4 linked regions of the Oreochromis niloticus genome follow. The protein of the gene in region 1 purifies or fractionates together with the protein of each later gene. This does not show direct contact. Links are inferred from orthologs where the notes say so. Each region holds a gene or a part of one and is shown in the gene's direction. Other genes may lie near its edges. The genes, in order: nufip2, ataxin-2-like protein, rc3h1b and lsm12b.

Evidence for each region.
Region 2: the proteins of nufip2 (region 1) and ataxin-2-like protein purify together in Homo sapiens (affinity purification with mass spectrometry; 4 studies listed by BioGRID and IntAct, counting the BioPlex papers as one, with this or other methods). This does not show direct contact. The link is inferred for Oreochromis niloticus from reciprocal best matches to the Homo sapiens genes NUFIP2 and ATXN2L.
Region 3: the proteins of nufip2 (region 1) and rc3h1b purify together in Homo sapiens (affinity purification with mass spectrometry; 3 studies listed by BioGRID, with this or other methods). This does not show direct contact. The link is inferred for Oreochromis niloticus from reciprocal best matches to the Homo sapiens genes NUFIP2 and RC3H1.
Region 4: the proteins of nufip2 (region 1) and lsm12b purify together in Homo sapiens (affinity purification with mass spectrometry; 3 studies listed by BioGRID and IntAct, counting the BioPlex papers as one, with this or other methods). This does not show direct contact. The link is inferred for Oreochromis niloticus from reciprocal best matches to the Homo sapiens genes NUFIP2 and LSM12.

Annotation. Positions count from the first base shown.
Region 1 is NC_031975.2:7,233,688-7,240,965, forward strand, and holds the start of nufip2 (nuclear fragile X mental retardation-interacting protein 2), read left to right. Parts: upstream 1-4,269; 5' UTR 4,270-4,568; coding exon 4,569-4,716; intron 4,717-4,939; exon of another isoform or gene 4,940-6,306; intron 6,307-6,313; coding exon 6,314-7,278. UniProt on the Homo sapiens protein: Binds RNA.
Region 2 is NC_031973.2:16,470,275-16,478,175, forward strand, and holds the start of ataxin-2-like protein, read left to right. Parts: upstream 1-4,887; 5' UTR 4,888-5,513; coding exon 5,514-5,638; intron 5,639-6,970; coding exon 6,971-7,010; intron 7,011-7,878; exon of another isoform or gene 7,879-7,901. Other genes in the region: mto1 (5-taurinomethyluridine-[tRNA] synthase subunit MTO1, mitochondrial), read right to left, coding at 20-187, 279-436, 517-626, 711-882, 974-1,178, 1,277-1,407, 1,561-1,751, 2,033-2,145 and 5 more. UniProt on the Homo sapiens protein: Involved in the regulation of stress granule and P-body formation.
Region 3 is NC_031982.2:15,300,168-15,308,173, reverse strand, and holds the start of rc3h1b (roquin-1), read left to right. Parts: upstream 1-5,002; 5' UTR 5,003-5,149; intron 5,150-5,390; exon of another isoform or gene 5,391-6,335; intron 6,336-6,374; 5' UTR 6,375-6,557; coding exon 6,558-6,788; intron 6,789-8,006. Other genes in the region: uncharacterized protein si:ch211-13f8.1, read right to left, coding at 918-990, 2,265-3,474. UniProt on the Homo sapiens protein: Post-transcriptional repressor of mRNAs containing a conserved stem loop motif, called constitutive decay element (CDE), which is often located in the 3'-UTR, as in HMGXB3, ICOS, IER3, NFKBID, NFKBIZ, PPP1R10, TNF, TNFRSF4 and in many more mRNAs.
Region 4 is NC_031973.2:7,489,335-7,496,655, forward strand, and holds the start of lsm12b (protein LSM12 homolog A), read left to right. Parts: upstream 1-4,316; 5' UTR 4,317-4,349; coding exon 4,350-4,476; intron 4,477-4,756; exon of another isoform or gene 4,757-4,771; coding exon of another isoform or gene 4,772-4,799; intron 4,800-6,997; coding exon of another isoform or gene 6,998-7,027; coding exon 7,028-7,161; intron 7,162-7,321. Other genes in the region: g6pc3 (glucose-6-phosphatase 3), read right to left, coding at 703-1,045, 1,154-1,295, 1,822-1,940, 2,059-2,149, 2,250-2,356, 3,746-3,963. UniProt on the Homo sapiens protein: Nicotinic acid adenine dinucleotide phosphate (NAADP) binding protein. Confers NAADP sensitivity to the two pore channel complex (TPCs) by acting as TPC accessory protein necessary for NAADP-evoked Ca(2+) release.

The DNA of each region.
Region 1 (7,278 bases):
CAAGTCAAAGTTTTATAAAGGAAAATCTGTGCGTGCAGTTGCTGTAGCCTCACATGTACTCAGACTGCACCTTTATGTTTTTTACTGTGCACTAATTTTACAGATGCCACAGTGGGCATTGTGCAAAAACACGTGTCTGCAGCATAATTGAAAACATGTACTTGTTATTCACCGTAACTATGATTTAAAGGAATCAAAAGAGTCTGATTGCAGGCTGCAAAAATTATGGAATATGAATATATATGATATTAGATTTCCTGCTGAAGGAGATCAATCTGTAATAAAGACTTGAATATCCTGTTTGAGAAATATGTTTGCTTGAAAAATACTTTGATCTCTTTGAATTAGTAATATTCATCTCAACCATCTGAATCTTTAGTTTCATATCTGCATACTGGCCAGATATTAATATTATAAATATTTTATCAGGAACAAGAGTAACATTATGTAAATACAATTAAAGTAAGAAATATAGCATTATTATAAACTAACAACTTCCAGAGAGCACTGTACTATTCCAAATAGTTTCTATTCATACAGTATTAAACACAGAGAAATAATCATTAACTACATTGAGGAAATAATGTTTCAGTTTTTCAGAATCTGGCTTATTTGGTTGTCGGAATAGCTTTTTAAGCTGCACACATTTATTAACCAGTACTGAGTTCTCCTAAGGGCTTGCAGAAAGTGTGTTATACTGGTGTTTAACAAAGCCCACCTAAATTACACAGTAGGAGTAGACTCTGTCTCTTCTTATCGAATAATCTCTGGAACACATTGTTGGTACATCTAAAATAAATACAGCTCGAAAAGTAGCGCAAAACCTTCACTCTTGACCCCATGGGAGGAGCTAGGGGTGACCATAGCCACATCGGAACAAAGTCTGACCACCCAACACAACCAATGGTGATGCATTAGAGCGCTACGCAAATACTACTATTTTACTAGAAGAACATTTTATGTGGGACAATTTCTCGATAGTGTATTTTTACAGTACTCATTTAAATTTAAATTGTTTCTAAACTTAAACAATTCCAGATCTGGCTTACAGTGAATGCAAAGCATAAAGATCCTCTGCAATCCTAATATACCTCGATGGTCTCAGCTTTGTCATCGTATTAGAAATGGTCTGTTTCTGCCACCGTTTTGCCCCCAGGGATCCAGTCCCTAATTTTGTTGCTATTGTTAGGGTCCACGTTCCCCTTTAAAAAGGAGGGTCCGCTTAAATCAATAGAAACTTGTTCTGAGCAATCACTTTTATTCTGTGATGACGTATTTCTTTCCTGATGGGGAGTGTTGTCTTACAGGATGACAACACATCCATCCATAGGGCACAAACAGTCACTGAAGGGGTTGATGAACATCCACAGTAATGGGAATTGTATGCTATGGTGCTTTGCATTCCCTCATTTTGAACCATCAGGGCTCAACACCAGCCATCATCCAAACACCTAATGAGGGTCTATTATCCCCACTGTACAGTTCTAGAGACTTTGAGAATCAATGCCAAGGCACAGTGAAGCTGTTCTGATGGGACACTGTGCTCCATGTCCCATTGCTGTTGTTTCTCACCTGTCTGCAATTTAATGTGTATTCTAAAGTTATTATAGTGTTACCTGTCACTGTTTAATGACAGCTGCAAAAAGTTTGGTTCATTCAGACAACATTCAATTAAGTTGAATGTTTGCTTAATAGATCTGACATTTTATTTCAAAGACTTTCTCCAGAGAAACTATCAGAATTATCTCACAAATGCTAAACTGCATTTCATTACATTTGTCCTCCATCTGATGCCTGAGTCAGTCTTCATTATGATTGCAAATGATAAATAAGCCATGAATAAATACCTTTTGAGCAATAACTTGCTCAGTACATCATATGAATTTGGTTCTTAAGGTATTGCTAGGTAAGCATTTCTGAGTGATTAGTCTGTGAAGGTTCTCAGTCATCCAGGTCATCGTAGTCAAAGGAATTTGCAAAGAAAAGCGTCTGGACTTCTTTAAGTTGCTTGAAGACGTTTCACCTCTCATCCGAGAAGCTTCTTCAGTTCTAAGGTCAAATGGCCGAGAGTCCCAGATTTAAACCCAGTGGGAGTATCCCCCCAAAGAGGGACAAAGGACCCCCTGGTGATCCTCTTATCACATGAGCCAAGGTGTGAAAGCGGGTGTGGGACCTAATCAGCCAGGGTTTCGGGATGAGCTCATTGAAACGTCTTCAAGCAACTTAAAGAAGTCCAGACGCTTTTCTTTGCAAATTCCTTTGACTGAGTGATTAGTCCATCACATGGTTTTAGCTTTTTATAAAATCAAGTTATCACATGAATTATTCATTTTAAAAAGTAGAAAAAGAGCAAACATCAGCACTGAGACTGTGTGAAACCAGGGTGACCTCTTTTTTTTCCTCCTAAATAGTGTCAAAGATAAGAGGATCCGTGACACTGTACTGTATTTGTGTTTGTGCGAATCAGCTACCCTCACCATGATGAATCCAGAATCAATGTTCATTTCAGTCATTTTCTTCTACTATATTATACTCACCCTTGGATAACTACACTTGCATGCCTGAGTTTAGCTTAAACAAGGGACAGCCACCACAATTTCTTGCCTTTGTTTTGAATGAAAATTTGTCTTTCTTTTTTCTTTTTAGAGCTAGAATAATAATAATGGATTGCATTTATATAGCGCTTTTTGGGGCCCTCAAAGCGCTTTACAATTCCACTACTCATTCACACACTGGTGGAGGCAAGCTACAGTTGTAGCCACAGCTGTCCTGGGGCAGGCTGACAGAAGCGAGACTGCCATGTCGCGCCATCGGCCCCTCTGGCCATCACTAGTAGGCAGTAGGTGAAGTGTCTTGCCCAAGGACACAACAACCGAGACTGTCCAAGCCGGGGCTCGAACCGGCAACCTTCCGGTTACAAGACAAACTGCCAACTCTTTGAGCCACGATCGCCCCAATGTACATTATTTAGGCCCAGTATTGTGTCCTATGGGGTATTTACCCAAATACTATGCCAAAGTTTAATTTTAATGTATGCACTTCTACATTACTCATGTAATTGTATGAAAAGCTACTTCTTCTACAACACTGTATTTTAGTGTTTGTACTCTAATTGTTTAAAGCACACATATTAATATAAAACACATATGATGCTATGTTGTTAAAGAATTAGCTACCCAGAAGTATATTAAGTAAAAACAATATACACACTGATTAATAAGTAACTATGACTCAATAATGTGTATTATCACAGAAAAGGCCCGTTTTTACACTGGGTATTTCAAGTACATACTGATGCTACTTTTTAAGTAAGATTTTAAATCCCAAAATTAGATTCAGAGGTAAAGGATTTTGCAACACTATGCAAAATACCTAGTAAATACCAAATAATATTCACACTCTTACAGTGTCACTATTCCTGCTATATTATTTTTTAGGTATGTTGGGGCTCAGCATTGTGACAAGGGCCTGAAAAATAATGCGCAAGCCAATTTAACGACTCACGGTTTCACAGTAGAACATTGCACTCTAAGAAGATGATCAATGTTCTTCACTTCCCCAACAAAACAGTCTCTACGGCTTTGTATTTTTTTAGTCACAAGAGGGTGCTGTTGGTCCGTTAAAGTCCTGCATAAGCAATGTTGCACCGTGCCGACCCCAGTGTGCACAAAAGTAAAGCACATAAACCTTTTTTACACTGTGTGTCAGTCGAGAATGAATAATGAATTAGCTTATATGTTATATGCACATATAGTAACAGGGAAGCAAATCGGTTTCTCTACACTTTAATAGCAAATAGCAGATTTAAATGTACCAGAATATACATATATATAGATAGATAGATAGATAGATAGATAGATAGATATAGATATATAATTGTATATGTGTGTGTGTGTGTGCGCGCGCGCGTATGTATAAGGGGCCAAATATGGGAAGCACTAAATGGATGTTACTTTTTCTAACCCTAGTATACATTGACTTCGTGCTTCGTTGCACCAACTACCCAATTGATATTATTTATTTCTGTGCATACGCAAGGATTATTAGAGTAATTTTGTTGCTTGTTCAGAAAACAGGAACAATGTTCTGTACTGATTAAACACTCACAAATGCATTGCTAATAAATTTGCAATGAGTCTGTTTTTTCCATTTTGGGAGAGGGGTTGGTCTCGCCATCACCAACATGTGTCCACTGGCTTGAGACGTGGCAGCGCCTCCGGTCATGTGATTTTTGTTCGCACACGAACCCCACCCCGGTATCGCCCACCCCAAAAGATTTGTTTTAATATCGCTCCTTCGTTATTCTTCTGTCAGTTATCCGATTAAATACAAGCACTGACAGAAAAAAAAGTGCTGAGAAATATTCCCCTGCATAACTCAGCACAAATAACTAGACATGGATTTGAGTGGTGGCGGTGACCACCCAAAACAGAGCCATTTTTAGACGTTTACTGCTGACGTTTACAGAGGCTTCAAATAGCTTCCGTTTTACTCTGGTAGTGATTGGACTGTCCTGTACTTGAGTGAGCTAACATACTGGTTGAACAAGTCCGACATTCTTCACTTCAATGGAGGAACAGCCCAAAGACCGGGCACAAGACAGGCAATACCATCACCACGGAGACGACAGGCACTCTTTTCAGCAGCCAACTTGTCTAAAAAATGATCAGAGCCACTTCCAGTGCCAGCATCAGGAAACGCAGACGAAGAAAACAGGTTGGGCCATCCCGAAAAGTTAGCTAATGCTTGCTAGCCTTGGTCAGCTAATGTCAGTGAGCTGACTAGCTTTTGCTAACTAATGTGAACTAAATCGCAATTGAGGACTTAGCCTGCTAGCTATTGGTTCATATTATATATGGTTCCTTGAGATAATTTGGTAAATGTTTCAGCTGGTGAAAAGCTTGGCCCTTTTTGACGGATAGCCGGACGAGGAGCTCACCGTTATGTTAGCAAGTTCGCTAGCTGACGTTGCGTGACAGTTGTCGCTGTGGTTGTTTGACACATCGGGGATTGACCTTGTGCGCCGGTTTCGCCAACCATTTTTCTTTTGCAAATGCATCGTAATCATCTCAAGGAACCCCTGCCATGTTGCCATGTGTTCTTAGCGCATTATTTGATAGGCGTGCACGGCAAGTTATCCTCAACAATAGTCAAAGCTGTGTCTTTTTGTTCGGCATGCTCATGTCCAGCTTAGGAAAACCGAGCCGGCTCCACTGGAATGTTCTGAGCTGCCATTTCCTGTCAGCCATGTTAGACTATCACTGCTGGCTAATGCTGTAGTTCCACAGCTAGTTAGAAATTGTTGTACAGGCAACATACTTTGCTGTTTTGGCATGTCTCTGCTGTCATTTTGGCTGCTGTGGTTGTTGTTGTTGGTGCTGATAGGGCACGACAGTTCCTGGGCGTGTTGGTGGCAACCGAGCCGCTGGTTAGTTGACATTAGCTAAAGCTAGCCATCACTGACAGGCCTGTTGCGTGTTGTGAAGCCAGGCAACAACTGGACAATGTCTTGTTTTGTGGCGCTGAGCTGACACTGTAAGCATCGTCTTTACGAGACTATATGCATTCGTATGATTGCTAGTGAGTAAGAACCGGCCTCCGTCTAAGAGAGGAGAGACCGTATAGAATCCATTGGGTGCTGCGCTCACAGACATTGAGGCAGCACCACTGTGAATGAAAAGTCCTACGTTGACACAGCAATTCCCATGCGTCTGTGCAGTGCACGGGCCTGTTAATAGTTTATTGCTCCTCTGTGCGTGTGCCATAAATGCTGTTGTGAGCGATCCTTGCAGACCTTGCAACAACTTGTGTCTGATGTCGAATATTCTCTGGGGTGGGGGAAGCTAAGCAAGAGTCCTTTACGTTGTTGACAGTTGTGAAGCATATCTAATTTCTATAACTTGTTACATGTAGTGAGCTCTCAGCTTATCTTGGAAGATTGTTAGGAAGTTTAATTTCAGGCAGCACTATAAGAATAATTATAAACCCAATAAGGAGATCAGTCATGTTCTCCATGGGTGTGGTTTACATGTAATACTAGAGAAACATTTAAAAGTTTAATATGCATCTTTTTTTACTTGGATTTGTTTAGGTTAAGAGTTGCATACATGTGAGTCACTTTTTTGCTATTGCGATAGCATGCGTGCACGCACACACAAAAAATCTATAAAATCCTTGTAGTTTCTCCAAGTTTGAAACAGATTATTTGACACAGACTTTCTGTAAATGTAGTACTTGTGGAGGTTTTCTGCCAGGTGAAGGGTGGTGGATGTTCCCTAATTTCAGTATCAACTGATTTTATTTCCCCTTTCAGGCAATAAAAAAGTAAGCATCAGTGACGAGGAGGGAGAGAAGAATCCACATCTGTCTAATGCCGTTGGCATGTCGCATCCACCTAGCATCAATGCTAACAGACATACAATTAATACAAATGCAAAGCCCAAATCCACGCAAAAGCTGTGCACGACTGTTCCAAAAATAAGCATCAAAGGACTGGACCATAAGAAGAGTATGGACTTAAAAAATAACAAGGAGAAGGTGCAGGATTTGAGTCATCATGAGGGCCCGCCTTTGGATAAGAAGGACTCCGTATTACTTCAAAATGGCGTCGTAAACTGTGGCTTAATTACAAATGGCTATTCTAGCAAGGACAATGACGGTAGTAGTTCGGAAGGTGGATATACTACTCCGAAGAAACGCAAGACCAGATGTAACAATACAAAGAACACTGATAATGTGATAAGAGAAAAGGAGAGAGACATGCAGCAGGGCCACACTACAGAGGAGCTGGGGGCTTTGAATCTAGAGACAAATGAGAAAGGAATGACCTCCAGACTCGATGGATTTAGAGCCACCCAGAAAGTAGAAACTCAGTCGACAGCCAAACGGGCTGTTGTATCAGAGGCTTCAGTGGGTGAATCTCAGAGGAAAAACTCTGATGGTAAAACAGTTGGCACCTTTGGTAAAAAAACTGAGGAAAGACACAAAGGCAAGCTTTCTTCACCTTCAAAAGAGGACTCGTGGACTTTGTTCAAGCCTCCGCCAGTATTTCCTGTGGACAATAGCAGTGCTAAAATTGTTCCCAAGATCAGTTATGCAAGTAAAGTAAAAGAGAACCTCAACAAAGTAGCTCAAGGTGGAGGAGAGGCACTGCCTCCTCCTGTCAGACTGTCACAGGTCCCTATGTCTGCTATGAAAACGATCACCTCAGCTAGTTTTACTAATGGTCCTGTTTCTGGAAATGGAAACGGTTGCCCGTCAGTGGGTACCTTCTTAGCT
Region 2 (7,901 bases), on another chromosome or scaffold:
GAGTCATTTTTAGACTGCATCACTGAGGTAAAGAGGCACTGTTTGCACACAGCTCCTCATCTCTCTGCGCCTCCTGGTGTCGCTGGTTTCTGTGCGTTTCCTTCTTTTTCTCTGTGACGCGCACATAGTTGAGGAGATTGACGACTGCAGCAGGAGTTATACCTTCCAAGCGAGTAGCAGCGCCCAGCTGGAGGACAGAGCAGAAGAGTCAGGGCATATTTGTTCCCTTTTATTAAAATAAATATTTCACACTATTATTTTGAAAGGAGCGGGCTCACTGTGCTCGGTCGAACTCTGTCCAGGATCTCTCGAACTTCGTCGGAAAGCGACACCGGCAGAGAGAAATAGTCAATGTCCTGCGGCAGGGACATGTTCTCCTCCCTCTGAATTCTCTCGATCTCTTTCTTGTTTAAGTCGCAGTGAGGCTTGTACACAGCTGTGTGACAGACCAGAGAAACGTTTTAGTGAGAGTTTTATTGTAGATGAACATTTCAGGCGGGGTTATTTTTGTCTTACCTTCTATCTTAAGTCTCTGTGCAAATTCCATATAAGACGAAAGGCTCTCGGGGAAGGCAGATGCCAGCATTTCAAAGGTCACGTCGTTGTACTGAAGAAGATCTAAGCCACTGAAAAACAAACATTAACCAGAAAAATTTTTTAAACTGACATGAAAAATTAAATTATTAGCTTGGCAGATTTCTATCACTCACGTCAGTAAGGTGCTCTTGGTCTCACTGATGGGAACACTGGGAAGCTTCTTCTTCCAGCTCGAGGTAGACAGAAAGAGAGCCTGAAGGGCTGTCAGTGCATCCTGGAGGCTGTTCCTCACTCTTAAAGACTCCTGGTAGCGCACGGAAGACACACATCCCACCTCCTCAAAGCCTGATGGGAAATAAAAGGTAATGAGATGAGGAGAAGAAGTGAAAAAAAAACAAACGCAAGCACAATAACACGTTGGAGATGCTACACCTACCCTTCGGGGTCAGGCGGAGGTCGGCGTTGTCCGGCCTTAGAGAAGTTCGAAACTCGGCCCGGCTGGTGAACATGCGGTAAGGCTCTGTCACGCCTCGACTCACCAGGTCGTCAATGAGAACTCCGATATAGCTCTCTGTTCGAGACAGCGTCACTGTGGGCATGGAGAGCGCCCAGCGGGCAGCGTTTGCTCCCGCCCACAAACCCTGCTCAGATAGAAGAAGAAAAATCAGTTGGTGATAAGCTGCTTCCAGCTGTGTGTGTGTGTGTGTGTGTGTGTGGCTTTAAGGAAAGAAGCAGCTACCTGTGCGGCAGCCTCCTCGTACCCCGTGGTGCCATTGATCTGACCGGCCAGAAACAGACCTTGAGTGCTCTTCACCTGCAGCGCCGGGCTCAGCTGAGTGGGACACACAAAGTCGTACTGCACGCCATAACCTGGAAATCCCAGAAAACAAACATTAGACTTTCAGTTCTGGAAACCAGCCTACTTCTGTCAATCCATTTTTTTTTAGAATTAGGGAAGAATTTAGGGAACTGTCACTGCTCTCACTTGTTACTAGGCAAATCAAACAGGATCTAAGGACCTACCTGGCGTGTGGATCTCAGCTCTGCGCATGGGAGGGATTTCTCTGATGAGGCGTAGCTGTATGTCAGGGGGCATTGTCATGGACAGACCCTGTGGGTACAGGAGGTCAGAGGTCACGCCCTCGGGCTCCAGCCACACCTGGTGGCTTCGGCCTGGAAAGCGCAGCACTCGCGACTCGATGGAGGGGCAGTACCTGTGAGAGACGAAGACTGCAGGTCATTCCAATTCAGCTCGATTGTTTCAGTTTTGCATAAAAATTTTATGATACACAGTTATACTGATGTTTTTGTTTTTGTGGCATTTTCTTCACAAAAACTTTCATGTTAAAACGAATCTACATGCTTTATTTTGCATTAAAGAGCAGACAATGATGGAATAACTGAAGTGATTCCTTCTGAGTTTCAAACCATTGAGTCCAAAGTGTGTGTGTGTGTGTGAGTGTGTGTGTGTGTGTGTGTGTGTGTGTGTGTGTACCTGGGACCTTTGGTGTCTTGCTGTATGTGACAGTTTAGTTGAAGACTCTCCCTCACCACTCTCTCCACACCCGGTGTAGTAAAGGTGAGGTAGCAAGGCAGCTGCTCTTCTGGCTACAGAGGGTTACATTTCAAAATAAAGCAGCAGGAACAATAAACTAGACAGTGAGTTAAAAAATAAAAGTCCATTCATTCAGCTGTACCTTGCAGTGGGTGTGGGTATTGAGGAAGCTGAAAGGAGTCGGGTGACTGTCGGGGAGGTGAAGCTTAGCCAAAGAAAGGTCTACTGAGTCCTTCACAATCCTGGGAGGGGTACCAGTCCTCAGTCTGCCTGTCCTTAGCCCCAGCCTCTCCCTCAGCGTATGGGACAGCCCAGGGCTCGATGGAGCGTCTCCAATCCGACCCCCGGGGGAGGTAGTTTGACCCACAAAGAGGGAGCCAGACAGGAACGTACCAGTGGTAAGAACCACTGATCTGGCTGAGATCGCATGGCTGCCATTAGCTGGTTGTTCAGGAAGTGCAAAAAACATGAGAAAGTAAATTCAGTGTATAATATGTACCGTTTGCCATTTAGGTCCTTGTCCTTAAAAGAGTTAATTTGCTGTGTACCCAAACGTATCCCGGTGACTCTGTGGTGCCCGGGCTCCTCTGGGTTTGGTTCTGTTACCAACAGCTCCTCCACTGAGCCCTCCAACACGGTCAGCCTGGGAGTGGACAGCAGCTCGGACTGAAGAAAAAATATGTAGCAGACAAACATTTTAATTCACTCGCAGACAAATATTTTACTTTAATGGATGAGTAATTCAAGTTTTTGGGTTTTTTTCTTAACCTGAATGAAGTCTCGGTAGCGCTGACGGTCCAGCTGGGCTCTCGGACCCCACACGGCAGGCCCTTTTCTACGATTCAGGATGGAAAAATGAATCCCAGCCCAGTCCCCTGCCCGACCACACAGCCCATCCAGAGCATCAACCTCCTTCACGAGCTGGCCCTTCCCTACTCCTCCCAGAGAGGGGTTACAGGACAGAGCACCTGTGGGAATATTATCAGAGAAGTTTAGTTTTCCCTGTTGGAGGAAAAAGAGCTTCTTTGTTTATGTGTCCCTTTATCCTCACCGATGGTGTGAATTTTCTGCGTGATGAGGAGTGTTTCAGCCCCAACTCTGGCTGCTGCCGCCGCTGCCTCGGTCCCTGCGTGACCCCCGCCCACCACGATGACATCATACTGATGTCCTGCGAGGTGACCGACATGTCTGGAAACCGGTGAGAGGAGACTGTGCAGGAAGGGAAGCTTCTTTCTCAACATGTGAGACGCACACCTGTCAGAGTAAAAGTTAAATGATGGTGTATCCCTGTTAGATACTCCATTACTTTCGTGACCCATCAGCTTTATTTCAACTCTCAACTTGGAAAAATAACTTTGTTGTTTACAGTGGGTAAAATAAGCAATGAACATGTCAGCAACTTTCTAAGTAAATTTTCTAAATATTTCTAAAGGTGCTTTTGACATAAAAAATTCTCACCAGATTTCAATAACAACCCATCCAATCCACACACCCAAAGAAATCAAAACATAGAAGCCATGATGACAACGGCTGAAATCTGTCAGTAATTGGAAAATAATCCTGCCATTTATTGCAAATTAATATCAGCTGGTTCATTCCACACTTATGGCCTATAACAAGGTGTGTTATTACCAAAATGGCACACAAGAAACATCTAATAATAGGTAAAAACAACGAGCTCGCTCAAGACGTTTAAGACAGTTGATCTAAAGGGTCCCAAACTACCAAGAGAATATCTTCGACATCATTACACCATCCAGCTGAACTCTTGGTACAGGGCAGGATGGCTCCATGCTTCCATGTTTATGAACCTACCATCTGAGTATCGCATCATCAGGCCAGCCAACATTTATCCAATCTCCTAATTTTGGTGAACTTGACCTCAGTTTCCTGTTCCTGACTAAAGTAACGCCAGGTGTGGTTTTGTGCTGCTGCAGCCCATCTGCTTTAAGGGTCCACGTTATACCCACTGAGAGATGCTCTTCTGTGTACCTTGACTGTAACGAGTAGTTGTTTGAGTTACTGGTGCCTTCCTGCCAGCTGGAAACAGTCCGCCTTTCTCTGACCTCTGGCATCAACAAAGCATTTTGGCACGAATTCTAATTTAATTTTAAAAAATGGTTATATTGAACATGTACAGCTTTGAATCAAACCGTATCCTCGCTCTCTGTTAGTAAGAGCACAACTTACAAATACGTAAACAGTTTAAATACGGCTTTGTTCACTCAGCGCACATGTGGATCCACAACAAACTCTCCCCTCAGGTTTGAAATGTACTTACGGTTTATTTGGGAGAAGGCGTATTGTTGTTTTTATTTCAGATGCTCTGTAGCAGAAACTGAGACTAACAGAAAGGCAAAGATCATTTAGGAAAATTACCAAACTCCTGCTACATAAGTCAAAGTATCCCTATGGAGGCCGCCATGATCTCTGTAGCTCACAACCGTAATAACTGGTTTACAGACGCACTGAAAAAAACGATGCTCGGCTTGTTTCAGCCTTTCGCCTGTGCTGTTGGTGTCCTCGTTTAGTTAATGTTACAATCATGAATCAAATATAATAAATTAATAAATACATGCGATCAATACAGATATGAAAAAAATAATGGGAGATGATTAAATTAACAGAAACCAAGGTGGTGATTTGTAAACAAAACATTAAGTGTTCTGTATGGTGACTGCCACGTTTACAGCAGGGACCACCCATCCTTGATTATATCAGCGATACAGTGGTATCGATTAAGTCCTGATTTAATCAATGCACACATTCTTCCACGTAAGCGCGCTCACGTCAACGCCCCCTCCCCCTTTGAGCCGGTTTGCAGTCAGCCGCGCGCGGATTCAGTCAAGCTGTCCTAGCGAGAGGAGGTGTTGACCGACCGCAGCAGGTTTTCCGAAGGAAACCTGAAAATCTAAGTTCCACGGCAGAGGACAGTAACGCCGAGCAGTAATTTTTTTATCCGACGGTTCAGCGGTGTTGGATTTAAGGCGACGCGGCCGAGGATATAAAGTAAACCCCGGAGGGAGAGCGCCCGAAGTGAGCCCGAGGATCACAGCTAATGCTAACCTAGCCAGCCTTGGCTAAATAATTACACGGAAGCTGGTGTAATTTTTAATTGTCGCTTGCTTTGGCGTAGCCTGTGTGGTTGTAGAGTAGATAGCGTGGGGTAATTTGTTAAGTTATGTGTCCGATTTAATTTTATTATCGAGGTGTTTTTGCTTTTACATGTTAGGCCACACGCGACTGGTGTTCACCTAGCAAGATTAGCCACAATAGCCGGGGAGGTTACGCCGGCTCTGCGCTTCTTAGGGCAGCTGATAACTGCTAAAGATAGTTCGCTTTCAAAGCTACTTCACATCAGGAGGTATCGGTGTTTTTAAGTGAGCTTTCACTTGATACTGTCTAAGCCTTGTGCTTCGCAATGCTGAAACAACAGCAGCAACCCGGATCCGGCGGGAGAAAGGCGTCTAACGGGACATCGGGCCCTGCCAGTATGTCTTCTCCAGTCAGCGGGATCAACAACGCCAACAGGGCACCGGCTGGAAGGTAAGGGGGCTGGGATTTTTCTTTCAGGACAGTCCGGGGATTGTCCCGTGACTCAAAGGCCTACCGGTTAAAGCGCTGTTTCCCAGTGGGCGTAACCCCAAAAATAGAGCTTACCTAGAAGCCAATGGGATTCACTCTTCTTAGATTGGCATCAAATGTGGACCAATCAGCACGCTCGAATCGAACCTCAACCGAATCAGCGAAGTGGCGAAAGCTAGGAGTAGCAAATCAGCATAGAGGTGATACAAAGTTTATTTGGCCTGTTTTTGGTTGAGAAGGGGCGAAAGAGAGGGGAGGGAGAAACTGTTTACATGTATAACCTCACGTCCCAAATGCTTAATAAAAACGCCTGATACAGTGGCTGTGTTAACATTACACAGTTGTTATGACCAGTACGAGGTCGCGTGTGCTGCTGATTTGTGAGATGAGCGCGTTTACTGAAGTCTTATTAGCTCCGTCTTTGTTTTGTAACCGAGCATGTAGCAAGCATTGATACGAGCCACAGTGGCCATTCATGATGGAGTTACGTTTAGCATGCAGATTGGTCTACATCACCCTTTCATGGCTTTTCCAGTCGTATATCAAACGTTTTTTGGGCAGAAATGTGTTTTTATTTTTCGATTTAGACTTCCTGTTTTCTATCTTAAGGACGCATATTAAAAAAAAGATTCTAACTAAACTGACATACGTTATTTATGTCTAATTATATTTTATTTATATCAACAGTTATTATAGGGCAAATTGGATTACGAATATTACAGAGAAACCAACCAATACCCTTTCAGCAAGCAGGCAGTGAGAGTTGGGAGAAAGATCCTCCCTTTAAACAGAAGGAAACCTACAGAAACTTGCATAGCCAGGCCCCGGGGAGGGTCGACCATCTGCCTCAACTGGTTGGGGTGAGGGGAAAAGGGAGAGGGCAGGGAAATCAACAAACAGTGTGGTAATAAACACTAGGGAGAAACTTGAAGCTCTAGAGCCAGACATACCTGCAGTGAGGTGAAGGGGGATGGGACAGATGGGGGGAGGGGGGGGGGGCTTAATCTGTAAACAAGTATTATTTCTTTAAACAATTTCTATGTTCAGATGCCAGTGTTTTTCCTTTAAGTCACACAGTTAGAGTGCGTGGATTGAGAATAAATTAACTGTGGAGCTTTTCTGGTGAGCAGGAATGACATAAGAACTTGTCCTGCCACTCTGGGTAACTCTGTCTGCTTCTCGAATAACCAAATTTTTCTAGTGTGTGATGTGGACTGTGACACTGACTCCTCAGACTTTGAAAACAAGTTCTTCTCCTTCTGAACAGCAAAACTTTTCTGTTTTGTTTTTCAGGAATCGATCTTCTGCAAAGCCATCATTCCAGTCATCTCCTGTAAGTATCCTGATCCACAAAACTGCAAATACACACTACATTTTTAAAATATTATTGGGAAGGAAAATATATGGCGATACTGGGTAAATTTATATAAATTATTATAAATTATTAAATTTTACTCATTTAGAAGCATCGCTGATGTAAAACACATTTTATAGGGCAATGTATTAAGCCCTTTGCCTGTGGAGTCAGATATGCGTATGACCTGTATTTGGTAAAGTCCTCCTCTGTAAAAGGGCCATTGAAAGGTTTATCTACAGCTGCTCTTCGCTCACCTGTGGCTGATTGCATTAGCTGGTCTTTACTATGCCTGATCCTATCCACAAAGTTACTCTGTTATGACCAGTCATCAGATTGGGGTTAAAACTGCGTGTGCGGTTATGTGATTGTACACAAGACTGTGGAGGTTGGTTAATTTCTGATATGGCAGATACAAAGGATCAAAAGTGAAAGTAAAGGCAGTTGAGTAAGAGTGAAATTAAAGAGTCAAGCTGTCCAGTCAGTGCAAGAACACACAAAGAACTGATTACATTTTTTGAAAAACGCAACCAGGAAATAAGTCATTGTTTAGACACTGGCAGCTTCTAAAAGTGGAAAGATATTGAAATCAATATAAATGTTTGCGTTTTTGAGGCATTTGAAAAGAGGTTTTACCCTTGCCTGGTGGATTGTTCGTCGTGTAAAGTAGCCGAGGTGGCCAGATGTTGAGTCGCGGTTCGACTCTAACTTTAAATCTAGTGACAAGTCTGGAGTACATTATGATTTCTTCTCCCCATCATGTATAAAAACAAAAACAAAAAAAAAGTCTGTTATATGGCACGGGACGTCACCTTTAGCATAACCTGTGCAGAAAGAAGATTTTTACCTTATGCTGCTCTGGACTAGTTG
Region 3 (8,006 bases), on another chromosome or scaffold:
ATAGAGTTTAACTCACTAATGAGACAATCTGCCTGCATCTGTCTGAGAATGCTGAATATTTGATAAAGTGTTCAAATTTTCAAAGCTTATTCTGTGCTGACACATATCCAGAGACATCATATTTCCCCAAAGATTGACTTAACACGGAGCCCAGCAAGCTGCGTCTTCCTAAGCTGTTTTATGTAATATCAGATAGATAGACTGGGGCGTGGCTCTAGTGGTCAGCAGCAAAGGGGAATGTCATCCATCCATTTATCCATTCATCCATCCATCTTTATGCCCAGCAGCTAAGCCGCTCTGCATTGTGCTTCATCGTCTGTACTTCTCTTTATCCCCTGGCCCAGTGATAAAGATAGCATGATACACCAGCCACGTGGATTATCTTTGTAATGGACTAAGTGTGATTCATTCTCTCCTGTATGACAAGATGAGAACATATTGTCTTTCACTAGATTACAGTTTGTTGTGTCACCGCAGTATTCAAACACCAGAAAAAGGAAATCAACAAAGTTGAAGCCTGTCTTTAAATATCATATGCAGCTCTTTATTCTACAGTTTATAACCATGTTCAAAATAACAACCTTTATTAAAAGGATGGCTTTAAATAATAGTGCAACTGGTGAAAAAAGATAACAGTGTGTCAGGTCAACAAGTGACGAGCGAGTATCAGATATAACACATAATTGATACTCGCTCAGTATCCCCAGTGCACTGCTTTTGATAATACTCGACATCATCTCTTCCCTGTGATTAAACCCGATTATCAAAATGTTTGTTTGGATTGTGCACCAGGCATAGTTGCCTCATTGGGTAGATTTTCTCAAGTGCAGCTGTAAAAGTGAAATTTATGAGGAGAGGATATAAATAGTCCACAGAGATTATCTGTCACTATCCTTGCCAGGAACTGCATTGCTCACCTTAAATAGGGTTCAAGTTCCTGGGCCAGAATGGCTGAGTCTGAGGTGTCCAAAACAGGATGGGCACCTGCAACTGACATTAAAAAAGGAAAAAGATATGAGCATATATAAGAGCGCAGTCAAAATTTCTTCCAGATAAAAGGATTTCTTGTCTTTGTTTCTTCCTTCACCCAGACATAATGTGCTACAGCACATTAAATTATTGTTTAATGTTCCATTTTTTAGGACTTGCCTTGCGGCAAACACAACTGCAGAGAGAGCAGTCAGCCATGACGTGACCTACAAGGACATTTGGGTATCAAAGAAATTGGGACTTGCTATGATCAAAGGGATTTTCATAAACCTTATAACATTACGTTCAGATTAGACTCAGTGGCAGTCTCGGAGGTCATCCCTAACTCATCTTTAATCTCGGACAAAAAAAAAAACCCAAAACAAAACAAGACACACACACGCACACGCACACACACCCATACACAGATTATGTAACTGCTGAAGGATAAAAGCAGATTTCCCAGAGACAAGAGGGCAAAATCATCTCATCATCACGGACTTGCACCTGCATCTCTCGTACTGGGCATTGAAACTGAGATCTGTGCAATACTACATGATCATTGCATGGGAAAATATATCATCTGTCATCCTACACACATACAAAGACATCCATTAGCGCGCCGGCAGAGATAAAAAAGACAGGGACACTTCCCCCACTGCTCTATTAATAGTAACACCCGCATGCACATCTGCACATCTGACATCTGTTCAGCACTGGGAACCAGCCAGGTTACATTCTGCGTTTCAATACAACATTGTAGGTAGGCAGACTACGGCTGAATGGGGCACTTTAAATGGCTGCAACAGATGGAAATCATTCTAAGCAGACAATGTGCATAAATTATTGACAATTTTCCAGCTTTAGAAGGTTGTTAGGGAAAAAAAATCAAATGCAAAATTTTACATTTTCTGTCCTCATCCAAAATGCTAACACGCCACAGGAGCTGATCCAGCTCATAACATTCGACTACACTTCATGAGGAAGCTAAAGTAATACAGAAAAAAATTATGACTAAGTCACAACCTGTTATTGAAACTATATCAAGTATTGTTGTCATAAATATGGCAGCATGTGTTTTTTTTTCTTTTTTTAAATAAAGGCACGCTACTAAAAATGCTATTATTGTATAGCATAATAATACTGCAAAAGTAAAGTTATGTATTTCATGCCATGGCCAGGAGTTTCAAAACACTTTACAGCTTATTTATCAGTAAAGTATTACTAAAGCCCTTCTCAGATGGCTCCATGCATTACTTTTTAGCTTTCTCTATTATTTTCCTTAATAGACCTACCATTATAATCCACTCTGTACGTTGTTTCTTCATAATAGCCAGTGATTTCTCCTTCGTGCAGTTCTCTCACTTCCCTGTAGTGTTGTTGTCTTTCCCTTAACTTTGCATAGGCCCTCTCCTTCACCCTCAGTTTATCATCAGCGCAAAGGACTCCACTTTGTGAAGACATGCTCTCCGAGCTGTCTGAACTGCACAGTCCTTTATTGGGATCAGTCACATCTGTCTCCCTCTGCTCATACTTGTCCAGGTACCACTCCACACTATCAGACTTTTGGATTTCAGAAGACACATCATAGTCATTCGCCAGACCTCCCACATCATTCTTGTTGCCTGCTTCAGCCAGTTTAGGCTTCCTCTGAGGCTCTGCTAGTGCCTCTGTCCGAGTGTAGTCCTTTAGTGGTAATGTGGGGGGTGTATTGTGAGGGTCAACCCCATTGAGAAGCAACGTTTCTGGACGTGCTACTCTCCAGAAGCCCTTTGGAGGGGCCCAGTGTCTTGCTGAAGGAGAAGAAGTGGAGGAAGTAAAGGACGATGTTGTAGAAGCAGAGATGTTGGAGGAGAGCACAGGTGGTGGTGGAAGAGGAGGAGGGGAAGGGGATGGGCCATCCTTGCTAGTGCTTGAGTTGTCAGACAGAAGACTCTCCAGACTGGTGCCCTCTCCAAGCCCACAAGGCTGACCTGTTGGATGACTGACCTGTCCATCATTGTTTTCTGACTGCTCCTCTTCCACTTCCTCCCCCTGCTGTACAACTTGTGCTTCAGCGGGAGGACTGTGGATCTCCAGACTGACTTGTACCTCTACCTCCTCCTCTTCATCACTGCTGCTTAAGTCCTTTGCACCACCTGATCGCCAGGAGGGAGCAGGCAGAAACAGCTGGCCTTTCACTTTGGGTCTCTGTCTAAGGAGGACTTCAGATGAAATGTGCCCCGCTGGGTTGCTCACCAGCACCTCCGTGTCAAATCTTTCTCTGTCTTTCTCCCTGTCTCTTCCCCTTGTTCTTCTCTGCGTGATCGACTTCACCTTGGTCTGCAGGGCGTGCACAGCTGAACTTTGAGCAGGGGGAGGAAGAGAAGTATTCAAAGTAGTGGTGGGTGGGAAAACAGGCTCAGGAACAGGCCCAGTAATGAGTCCCCAGTTTATGGGAAGCCCGGTGGGCAAAGGGGAGCCGGATTTTGATTGGATATTATCAGCGGCTTTCTCTTCCTCCATTGGCTAGTCATGCACAAGAAAGTCCAAAGAGATTCTGAAAATAAAGAACAAGAAAGATAAAAACATTTCCTATTCAGTGTATTCTACATCTCTGTTACCAGATACTTTTTTCCTGTGTGCCGGGTAAGGAGATATGTAATGTGGACTCTGTCACGTTGCCTTATCCAGTGATTACTTTGCAGGGCACAGGATAATCCTTTGGAATCAGAATAAGCAACTGCTGCCTGCAACTGAGACCCTACAGGGAATAAGCAGTATTATATGTTTATGTTTGGTTGTATATATCAGAAATAATAAACCATTTTTTTTCCTGTTTGCCATTCATTTATAGAAAAACTGGGGGGGATCAGTTAAAGTATTTAAAATTCATTATTTACCCATAAGAAATACGCACAGTGGCAGTTTTGTACAGGCTACTGTTGGTAATTATGCAAACCGCCTCCATAAAACCAATTTTAACACATCATTATCATTAACAAAGTAGCTTCTCATCACATTAAGAGACAGGTTGGTTTCGCTATTAGAAGGCTAACAAACATTTTTTAATGTACCTGCACTTTTACTGAAGACGGCGTACTTTGACATGCAATCCCAGCGTCGATGGTCACGAGAAAGTTGCCATAAATTCTGGGGCAACCGCACAAATTAAAGTTGCCCTCCATAATAAAAAGCTGCGCCAAGCGTGCAGTTTTTGCAGCGCGCATCCTCGCGTCACCAACTGGCAAGACGAGCGACGTCCCCGTGGATGAAATAATAATGATAATAACAAGATTTCCAAATGTTTCTCCAGATTCTGAGGTTCTGTTTTCACTCTCCCTCTCTCTCTGTCGCTCTACGTAGCTCCGAGCGGTGTCAGGCGAGTCAGCGGTCTCTCAATCATGCCTGGTCTGATAATCCCCTCAGAAATCAGTGGGATTAAACAAAAATGGAATAAAAAAAATGCCTGCTTTAATTTCGCTCTTGCCTCACGAACCCGACGTCGAGTGGAGCTCTGTGTTGCGCAAGTGCACACACACCGATTCCCTCCCCGCTGTAAAAATAATAATAACCCAATGAAAAAGAGAAAACAATTCTAGTAAAATGGCTTGGGGACCTCTCGCCCAAATGAGATATCCCAGATACTTTTCAGTCTTTATTTCGGTGACTCTGATTGCAAGGAAGTGGGGTATGCTGCGTTTTAGGGAGCACGGGTCTAATTTTGTCTTGCAAAAACAAATGTCAGCTGATTCTTATTTGTCAATACAGCTCCCTCCCTCTGTTTTAATCTGTCTGAGCTCTCCTCTTCCCTTCTTTTGTCTATGTTTCGAAAACAGATACACAAACATATTTAATATATATGCACTCGTGCAAACTCAGCAGTTTAACTGTGAAAAATGTTCCCAGATGTGATCTTCTCAGCACCTGCCCAGTTTCGGTATTTTGTGTGTGCGGCTCAATATCAACAGAGGGCGCCATTTGCCCACAATCCAAACGCGCACACGCAAAAAAGAAAAAAAAACGCGCGTGCACGCACACATCTTTTCCAGCTAGCTGTAACCGGCTAGCGAGTCTGTCGTCGAGTTGACACCCTCTCCCAAACCTTGGCAGCAGCTAAGCTGCACAGTCGACATGGCAAGAAAATATCGCAGCAATTTCCTAAAAAAAAGATGAAAAACTTCCAAGTCTTTTGGAATAAGTGAGTAGCATCGACAATAACGATTTATCTGCTCGGTGAAAAAACCCAAAGTAGTAGTTGCATGTTTAGTTTTAGGCACATTAGTGACGCATAGAGATTGTTAGCGAGCTAGCTAAGAAGCTAAGCGCTAAGAGAGTGGAGAGAGTAACATTTGTTCATTAGCATGTTAGCCCTCTGTGCTCATTCCGACGACAAGAGCGGTTGAGTTATGTGCCCCTCAAAACAAGACTAAAGCACAAACCTGGTCAGTTCTTAAGAACTTTCTGGTATCGAGTTGTTGTCACTGTGTCTGGTGAATATAAAGACATTTTGGGACAGTTTCGTTGCTTTGAAGTTACGGGTGCTAGCGTTACATAATCTGACTTGTTGTGTCTCTTAGATCTCGTTTCCTTGAACAGCGCCTCCTCGAAGGATAATTAATATCATTAAAACTGTAACGTATGAGCAACTGTGACTATATTCAGAGCAATAACTGTGTGACAGTCGGTCAGCGAAAGGTTTCAGGTCGTTAAGCAACTGTTTGCTGATCAAACGACGTTTGCCCGTAGCTAAGCTAGGAAACTAGCCACCCATAGCTTCCGATGCTAAAAGTAAGCTAACGTTACCTAGAGTTAGCTAGCTATAAAAGCGTCTCGTATCACTCGTAAGATTAGTGGGTGCATAACGAAACACCGAGATGGTCACAGCAAGGATAAAAAATACTGGGCAACAGCGCATTGTTGGTACAATATTATCAAGCACTATCACCAGACGCTAGCTTTATATCAAGTTAGAGGGACTTGGTGGTTAGCCTATCCTATACCCTTTGTCCATAGTCATAGTGATAACCAGCTCTTTTTTTTTCTCTTTTTTTTTAACTAGGCCACGCCGCAGTTGTTTTGGTCCATCTCAACCATTTGTTTGATTCCGACTTTACAAATATGTGTTGTGTCGCGTCTGATTTGCCGTTACATTGTTTTGTTGGGCTTGAACAACGTAATTGACAGGAAGAGGCATATTTTCAGTGCGGTTAGTTGTTCCACGGGAAACCTGCTTTATAACCACACGGCATAGAATGCATTTCTCAGCTGCAAATGCACTCATGCACAGTGTAGCCATGTTTTATAGTGTACTTCTACAATGTTTTGATGTAAAACTAATAACAGTATGACACGTTTTATTAAAAAAAACGACAGTTTGTGAATGCGGCAACAACTATAATTCCGTTTCTCTTTCTGCTTTACAGTATTCATCACGAGATGTGATCCACAATCCACAATGTGTGAGGACATTTAAGAACGATTGAGTTCGGAAGAAAAAAAATTGATTCCAGTGGAATCTTTCATTATATATATAAAATTATTATATATTTTCCTCTGTGATTAAGCTCACATACATTTATACACACCCATCCCATCAACATATAACCATGCCAGTGCAAGCACCACAATGGACAGAGTTCCTGCTGTGCCCGATCTGCACACAGACATTTGAGGAAACTGTTCGCAGGCCCATCAGCTTAGGCTGTGGACATACAGTCTGCAAGATGTGCCTGAACAAGTTGCACCGAAAGGCCTGTCCCTTTGACCAGACAGCCATCAGCACAGACATCGAGCAGTTACCTGTCAACACGGCTCTGTTGCAGTTGGTGGGAGGCCAGGTAAGACCTTTGTTTGTGTGTGTTTGTCATAAATTGCTAAACAAATGTACAGAGATCTGACTTTATACCGCCTGTGCTGAGATTTTGTTGACGCTATCTTGTGGTTAAGAATACTAGCTCATGGGTGTGGTTTTTTTGTTTTTGTTTTTTTTTTATAGTAGTGAAACATTTTAAGACACCAATCCTGGTTTTAAAGGATGACGTTTTCTGTAATTACTATGGATTGTATTTGTGTCACACATGGGTTACTACATGGTGTACATACTTTTGGGATTTCTTTCTGAGTCACCCTGCAGTCATTGAGCAATGACTTGAATTATGCTGCTTTACTGAGTGCTAGCGCATTCACTAAAGCCGTATTTCTCAGAGGGAGTGTTATACCAACAGGGTGAGGCACAGCTAATGGTGTCTGGCTTTGTTGGCCAAGTTTCTAAGTTAAGACTGCAATAATGGATAACGTCACTGCATCACTTGTAATGCTGAAATGTGTCTTCTCTAGTCATCATGACTGGTATGGCTTGTCTCTTAAACAGATCTTAGTCTTATTGCACATTTATGCTAATATAGTTTAACTAGGTAGGACTTCCTTAAACATTCCCTGTTTGATGTTGAAGTCGGTTATTCATATATATATGTATATATATATATATATATATATATATATATATATATATATATATATATATATTAGTAATGTAAAATTTGCTTCTATGGTGGAAAAATATGACTATCCCTACCACACGCGGTGTGCCCCACACACATGTATTTGGACAGACTGAGTGATAATAATGGTGGCAAACATTATCAAGTAGCACTCAGCTTTGTTATGACCTTTCTCGGAATTGGCCTTAATGTGCTGACGTTAGCCTTTGTGAGCTTTGCTTGTGGAAGATTGCAGCAAGAGATTTTGCTAACATTAATGAGAGCATCTCAGCATATTAATATTTCAATACATGCTGTTAGAATATAGTTAAGTGAAACTCCTTGCACAAATGAAAATGCCTGGTTTTGAGGGTCTTTGACAATCTTCAGCTGATTACTTAAAAGACAATTGTGACTAAAATATAAAAAACATTCTAATACCAGCGATTAGTGAGAATCCACATAATTTGAAATTAAATGTAATATATTTTAAGTAGTGATTATTTTAATTGTTGTGCAAAATGAGTTGTAACGTGTTAAATTGGCCCTCAGTCCAAATTGTTTCTTACCGTAAGA
Region 4 (7,321 bases), on another chromosome or scaffold:
TAAATGTGAGCTTTCAGATCGCTGTGAAGTTTAATTAAAAACAATAAAAAAGAATGTGTTTTTATCTCATGATAACTGATTGTAATCTGTACAGTCGAACATATGTATTGGAAAAAAGGAGAACATATTTATAAATGGTTACCAACTGAAACACGCCCTGCATGTCAATCATTTATTTTTACTGATTTGGGAATAACATAGAAATGTAACTTTCAATTTTTTGGTCACAAGGCAATAACACAAAGCTGAGCATCAGACATCTGAACAATGTTCAAGTTCTTTGCCTTTCACTAGCTACAAATCTGAGGTGTACCAATCTTTGACTCGTAAAGATTCAAACAACACAAAATGCACATAAACAAAGTTGCACGTTTCCCAATAAAGTCGATTTTTAGCAAAAATACTGTAGTATTTACAACACTTATGATTGCACTAGATTCACTAGAAACGTACTTTACGCTACAATGTCTCAATACCGGCACTTTAAAAATCATCAAAAAAGGAAAAAACACAGGTCATAGACTGGATTAAAGGCCATTGTTTAGTGAATTTTAAGACATGAAAAGTAAACTTAACCCGTACCGATCAAAATGGTTCTGAAACGCAGTGAACATTAAACATTAAATGTGTTTATACAAACTCTGAAAGAAACTCCAGTTTTGGGAGGTGTTTAAGGTGCACATCATGTGTGGAGAAACTCTTCTAGTCTTTCTTTTTTTTGAATGTTAATAGGTGTACCAGCCCAGGCACAAGTACCATAACGATCAGAGGCACTAGGACGAATTTGACAAAGAACAGGCTGTAGAAAAGGCCCTGTGGTCGGACAGGGAGCGGTAGACGATTCACGTGGTAAAGACCCATGGATGATATAGCCAGAGACAAAGCTCTGGGAGCCCAAGGTAAAGACCATCCACCAGGCTTCCAGTACTGTGCCAGCCCCAAACCCAACAGGGCCCCACAGTCTCGAGTGAGAGAGGAGAATGGGGCTGTGTCCAAACGAATCCATTCTGCATGGCTGCACCATTTCTTGGCCAAAGCAATAGACCTGTTGAATCAAAAACATGACCGGTCATGGCAGGAAGTCCATTCATATTATCACAACATACACTGATCAGACTCACTGATTAAACATTAATGTAATAGAGTAACTCACCAAGAAAGGTCAATTCCCAGCTGCTTTAATCCAGCATAGAGCATCAGAGCTCCAAACAGAAGCCCAAAGCTTAAACTAAAGAAGAACAGCAGGGGGCGACCTTCTGGTACTCTGCGGCTCAGGACAATCCCCAGAATGAAACCTGACAAGAGCATTTCATCAGATTAAGCTGCACACATAGGAAAACTATCCTATGGGTCTGACAAATCCAATTATGAAATTCTTTTTTGGTTACTACAAAAATCCTGTAGAATTGCACAGATAGTTGATAGCAAGCAGCTCAAAAACCAGCACAAGTGATGATGGAGTGCACTAGATCTACACCTGTGCTAGAAATATTAACACTTAATGTTTTGGAGCAATCAATGCTTTGATCCAGAGGACACCTGTTTTAGGAGAGGCCTCAATCATTTCAGCAAACATCATTCTGCAGCACAGCTGCATATCTACACAGGTCTGATACATGCTTGCCTGTAATCCATTACACTCAGTCAGTGAAAATATTTAGTGTATTTTGAATTTAAACCTGTATGATTTGCAGCTGTGATCATATATAAAAAAAATGTCTTTTACACTTTGAAGATCACTGCATTTGGCTTTTAATATACTTTTTATAAAGTGCCCCGCCTTTTTCAGAAATATGATTTTTGCATAATATGTATTCAGACCTGTAATGGAGCCAGCAACGACCTGATGAGGAAAGTGTGCGAGGATGAAGATCCTGGAGATTCCAACTGCAACAAGCATCACCACATAGAGCACGTAGGGAGCAGCTGATAACAGAACACTCCGGATTCAGAAAAGGAGAGATTTGTTTAAAAGTAGTTCCACTATGCAGCAGTTTTTGTGCATTTTTAGAGCCAAAGCAGCATACTGCACTGGATTTAGCTTAAATAGGGACATACCTGTGAGTACGGGAGTACAGAAAGGACCCCAGCGAGGACACAACGACCCACCAGACTGCTGCTGTCACCATCGCATGTCCAGACGGACTGCCTGAGAAACATATGCCAACTTTGGAGAGCTGACTGTTTGATGATTTAAAGACATCGCCTATGACTCAAACACAGTCTATTTTTCTAAGACAACTTCTAACCTGGGCCTGTTTCGCAGGTGGACGGAAACTGGTGAATTTTCGGTTGCTTGTTGACAAAAAGACGCGATTCACCGATCCACCAGAACGGCCTCTCTCCAAACAGCAGCCTGATTAAAAATAAATGTACACACACACCCCAAATAACACAAATACATTCAAGGTCATGGCTTCACTATATTTTACTACGTTTAATAAGTTTTTGTTTTACTTATTGAATCTAAGACATTTTACTTTTTTTCTCCAAAAGCCTCTGCATATTTACTCTTCATTCTTCTTTTTACTTTACTGGAATTTATTTAGTTCAAAGTTCCTTACTGTATTATATTTGGCTATACTTCTCCATCAACACCCTCAGAAAATAATAATTAGTGTAATCAGAAATATCTAAATCAAAATAATACATGGCGTTTTTAAAAATCGATATTATGTCCATAGTAATTTAGTTGTATTGTTTCTCTACTTTGTATATTTTTAATGGCTTTTGTATTTTTCTTTTTTTAAAAATAATTGTTGAAGATTTGCGGGTTTCATTTTTTTCTATGCATGTTTTCCTCTGTCTTCTGCGTGTTTCCCTTAATTTGATCTTGTTTTATTTCTAGTTTTTATGGTATAATATAAGTAAATTTGTTATAATAACAAATTTATTTGTAATAACATTGTAACAACAATGTTAATAGTATGCAGGTTCGCACCAAAGTATATTTCAGATGTTGGGGTCCTCAGCTAAGGCTGCTCTCGCCATCCCATAATCTCGGCTGAAAACCAAAGGCTTTTTCTGTCAGGACACCCTTTCTCTGGTACAATCTGTCTGATGAGATTTAGGTCATTATCGTCTTTTAAATTTCTTAAAAAGGCATTTTACGAGCATTCTTTTTCTCTGTTTCCACTTTGTGTTACGATGTTGTCTTTCATATTTGCTTTATCATCTTCTTTTAGTAATCATTGTTTCTTTTATTTATTGTCTGTCTTTATTTCTCTTTGCGTTCTCAGTATTCATATACCTCATGTTGTTTCACTTTTATTTTTCCTTAAACGTTATATTTGCTGTTTTCAATGTTGTCTTGTGAAGCATTTTATAACTTTGTTATTATCCATCCATATCATTGCTTTTCTAAAATTTAATCCGGTGAATATTTAATATTTAATTTCCGTTTGTTTTCGTCACTTTTCTTGTTACACTCCAGGCTGTTTGTGGGGAAAATTCCACGGAACTGGTCACAAATGGTTCCGTTCATTTCTGTTTCACGTCGGACGCCAATAAAAGGTTGTACTACTTTGCTGTACCGGAAGCAAAGACTAAACTAAAATTATCTAGTTATTTGTTTAAACTGGAAAAAACGAACACGTGCAGGCGGTCTTGAATATATAATTAAAAATTTTAATGTGAAAAAAGTTAATGCAGCAACATGCTACCATGAGACATACAACCGCAATGATAAGTGTAAAAACTAAGTTGGACAGGAATATTCAAATCGTGGTTCATTAAAACGCCTTACCATTTGAACACTAAGTTTAACCACTCCGATATAGCTGCCGCCCAAAGCACCGCTACTCCAGCTCTCCTGTTGATGAAATAAGTGAAAGGAAAGACGAGCAGAAAGGCTGCTTTAGGATCTCCCATATGAGTGACCGTAAGCCAGACTTTCTCCTGAGTCTTCGTCCTCTGCTGGAGACTTTCAGCCATCCAGACGCCTTGGGTATAAATCTCCTCCATTCCTTTCTGCCCTCTCCCAGTACAAACACTTTGATATGTAGATGGCAATCTAAAGACAGCCCTTTATTTGATGTGTTACAATGAATTCCACAGTACTGCTCTACATCCGGTAGGGGGCGGGACACATCGGAAGGCGGTTCAATGGGAAACAAAGCGACATCCTTCGTCGAAGAGAGAAGTTGTATTCGTAGTAGTTCTACAGTTGAAGACGTTAGTTAGTGATTCAATGATACAACTTTACGTAAACTAGATTTGATTTGGCAGCACATATAATTCATTAAATTAGAAGAAACGATCGACGTACTTTTGTTACGCTCAGGTTTCGTCTCCATACGACATCGCGTCGCTTTACGTAAGGCAGGCGCTCCGGTTTCCTGGCGGAGAAGATGGCGGCTCCTGGACCCGGGGAGTATTTTAGCGTCGGGAGCCATGTCGCATGCGTCACATGCTTGGGCCAACGTCTCCAAGGAGAAGTGGTCGCGTTTGACTACCAGTCCAAGATGTTAACTCTGAGTATCCTTTTGTTTGTTTCGAGCTGCGGATGGAGGGGTTGCTGGCCTGCCTGGCTGCAAGGGCCTGTAGGGTAACCGAAATATGGCAAATAGTGATCCGCGCAGGCGTAATTGGTGCTAGCAGAAGCACACACGTTTGCCCGTTTTATATATGTTCATGTTTCAGATAGCACCTCATCTATCTTCTGTCTGTGTAAGCCTTTAGTTGGGGTTGCCTGGTAGTTTCTTGGCCTCCCATTAGCCGCTCTAGCAGCGCATGTGTTTTGAATCCACTCATTGTATTGCCAGCCCTCAACATGGATCATTATCTGGCAACGAATCCTCGTAAGGCATCATGGCTGTGTGCTCTCAGCAGGCACAACCGCTGCTAGTTAGCGAGCTAACTGATACTGGGAGAGTCTCGCGTGTTGACGGTGTCCACATATTGACCTCACATGGTTGGTGGTGCCATCAGCCGGAGATGCTTACGATTATTTGTACAAGTTAGAGATTAAGTGGTTTCCGAGTCCACGCTATACAATCAGGGTGCTTTTAGCATGTTAGCATGCTAGGTTTCGGTCAACCCACACTGCAGCTACTGGCTAGCTCAATTAACGGGTTTGGCGTTCTCAAGCTTATCAGCTGGGCTGTAAATATTGTGTGATTGTGCCACAGTTCATTTTAACATGAGTCATTTGTGTGGGAGAAATAACTTACTAACATTAGTTTGCTGGCGAACATGTCTACACCCATCAGTGTGAGTGAATGAGTGAGTGTGTGAATGTGCTTCGTATCATGTCCTCCTTTCACTGATCACCGAGTTAATTGCACAGACTCGAGAGGTTATCGTGTAGTTATCCTCATTGTGTCCAAACCTTGAGGTGATTAAGTCAAATGAAGAGTGGGGAGCGCTTAGAGCTGATAGTCAAGGTCTTTCTGAGTGTTAGTTTAACACTAAAAACACTTTGTGACGTTATCTGAGCTGTAGAAAAGCATGGACATCTACTTTAAGCTCTGCAATGTATGGTAATGACTAGTTATAAACGTGTAAGTGTGCTCAATAGCCATACAGGTATTGTATGTATTTCTGCTTTACCCTTTGAGCAACCCCCAAAACGTGATTAATCGAGGTGATATGTTCGCATGCTAAGTTTGAATGCAAGGCCTGTGTAAAATCAGCTGATTTTTCTTATGTATTTATCGACTTTCAGACAGTCTTTTCCAATGTATCTATTGCAAGAATTCGGTTTATTCTTTTTTTTTTTTTTTAATTATTTGTTTTTTTATGGATCAGTTTGCCAAAAAACACATACAGAACAGTTAGATCTAAGGTTCATAAATGGCGTGCCTTGGGATTTGGTGAGATCCATCTATTATTTAAGCAGCTGCACTAGAACCTAATGAGTTTAATTTATATTTGCTAAATTAGCGGACCTCTAAGATCCTAAAAGATGGTGAGGAAAACAGTACAGTGGATTACTGTATTTTGTGAAGCAGAGAGTGGGCAATCCCCTGCCTATACAAAAGACACTATCTGTGAATAACAGTATTTCAAGACAAGCTGGCTAATCTTAACATTATTCCAAGACGGGATACTTAAACCCACACTTGATTTGAATTAGAGGCAGACAGTTTGTTGGAATATCTGTGGAGGGAAACTATGTGGCAGTAGAGCTTACTGTAAAGATGTGCCATGAAATGTTGGTTTGCTCTTAGGTGCACAAGACCTTTGAAAACTGCTGCTGTGATAGGAAATCCAGAGCAAAACAAAAATCAGACTAGTTTGTATGTTACGTTTGAGTTCCAAAGTCAGCAGTTTATCACTGTTTGAGTAAAATTTCCTGACAGTTGTTATTACTAGTTACTGCACAGTGAGAGGATATGTGTTATGACTTAAATAAATAAATAAATAATAAACAGGCAGTGTTAAAGCCCAAACAGTGTGTGTATTGCTGGTCAGTCATAGAGCGAGCCAGTCCTGTAATAATAATAATAAAAATTTAGTAATGTAGCTCTTTTCAAGACTTGGTTACAATAAGCTTCACAAAGCTTCACAATCAATAATCAGCAAGAGAAGGTAAAATGGTAAGAGCAACAAGTAAACACTGATAAACTTGGAGAAACTTGATATGATGGGTAATAAATAAATCAATACAGTAATAATTAAAGTGGAGTGGTGATTAAAGCAATTTTACTCGCTAAAAGCCGTTAAGGTAAGTTGTAGATACTGGGTTTGCTGAGCTCGTTATGGGTGCTTCATGATTGTGGACCATCAGTACATGTTGGGGGTTTTTTTTTTTTTTTTTTTTTGCAGTTTTTCCTCTCATAACACATTTTAGCCATCTCCATTCATTTATAGATGCTACAGGTGGCAGCAATGCTTTCGGTAGTCCCATGCTGTAACTGGCACTACCTTTCACTGTCAGTGTTTGTCAGCCAGTGCTCTCTGAATAATGAGCTTCTCTGTGCAGAAAACTGATGTCCCAAGTTCTTCAAGGGGACAGATAATAGTCATTTTTGTTCTGTCATTCACTGTCACAAAGTTGTTTGCCTTGACCTAAGTGCCTTCAAAGAATGTGCTTCCTCCAGTGGTAAGCCAAACCTCAACGACGTCATCCTGATCAACTTAGCCTATGTTTCTGATGTGGACATTATAAATGACCGCACCGAGACTCCACCCCCTCTAGCATCACTGAATGTTAGCAAGGTAAGTCCAGTGATTTATTTTATTTTTATACCATTTATTGGTTTTTGTGCAACTGTGTGAATTTTACTTTTAACCATCAAAACTTTTTATATTTATATTTTTATTTTACTTTTATTATTTTAGCTGTTCATTTTACTCTACTTTTTCTTTCTTACCCGCC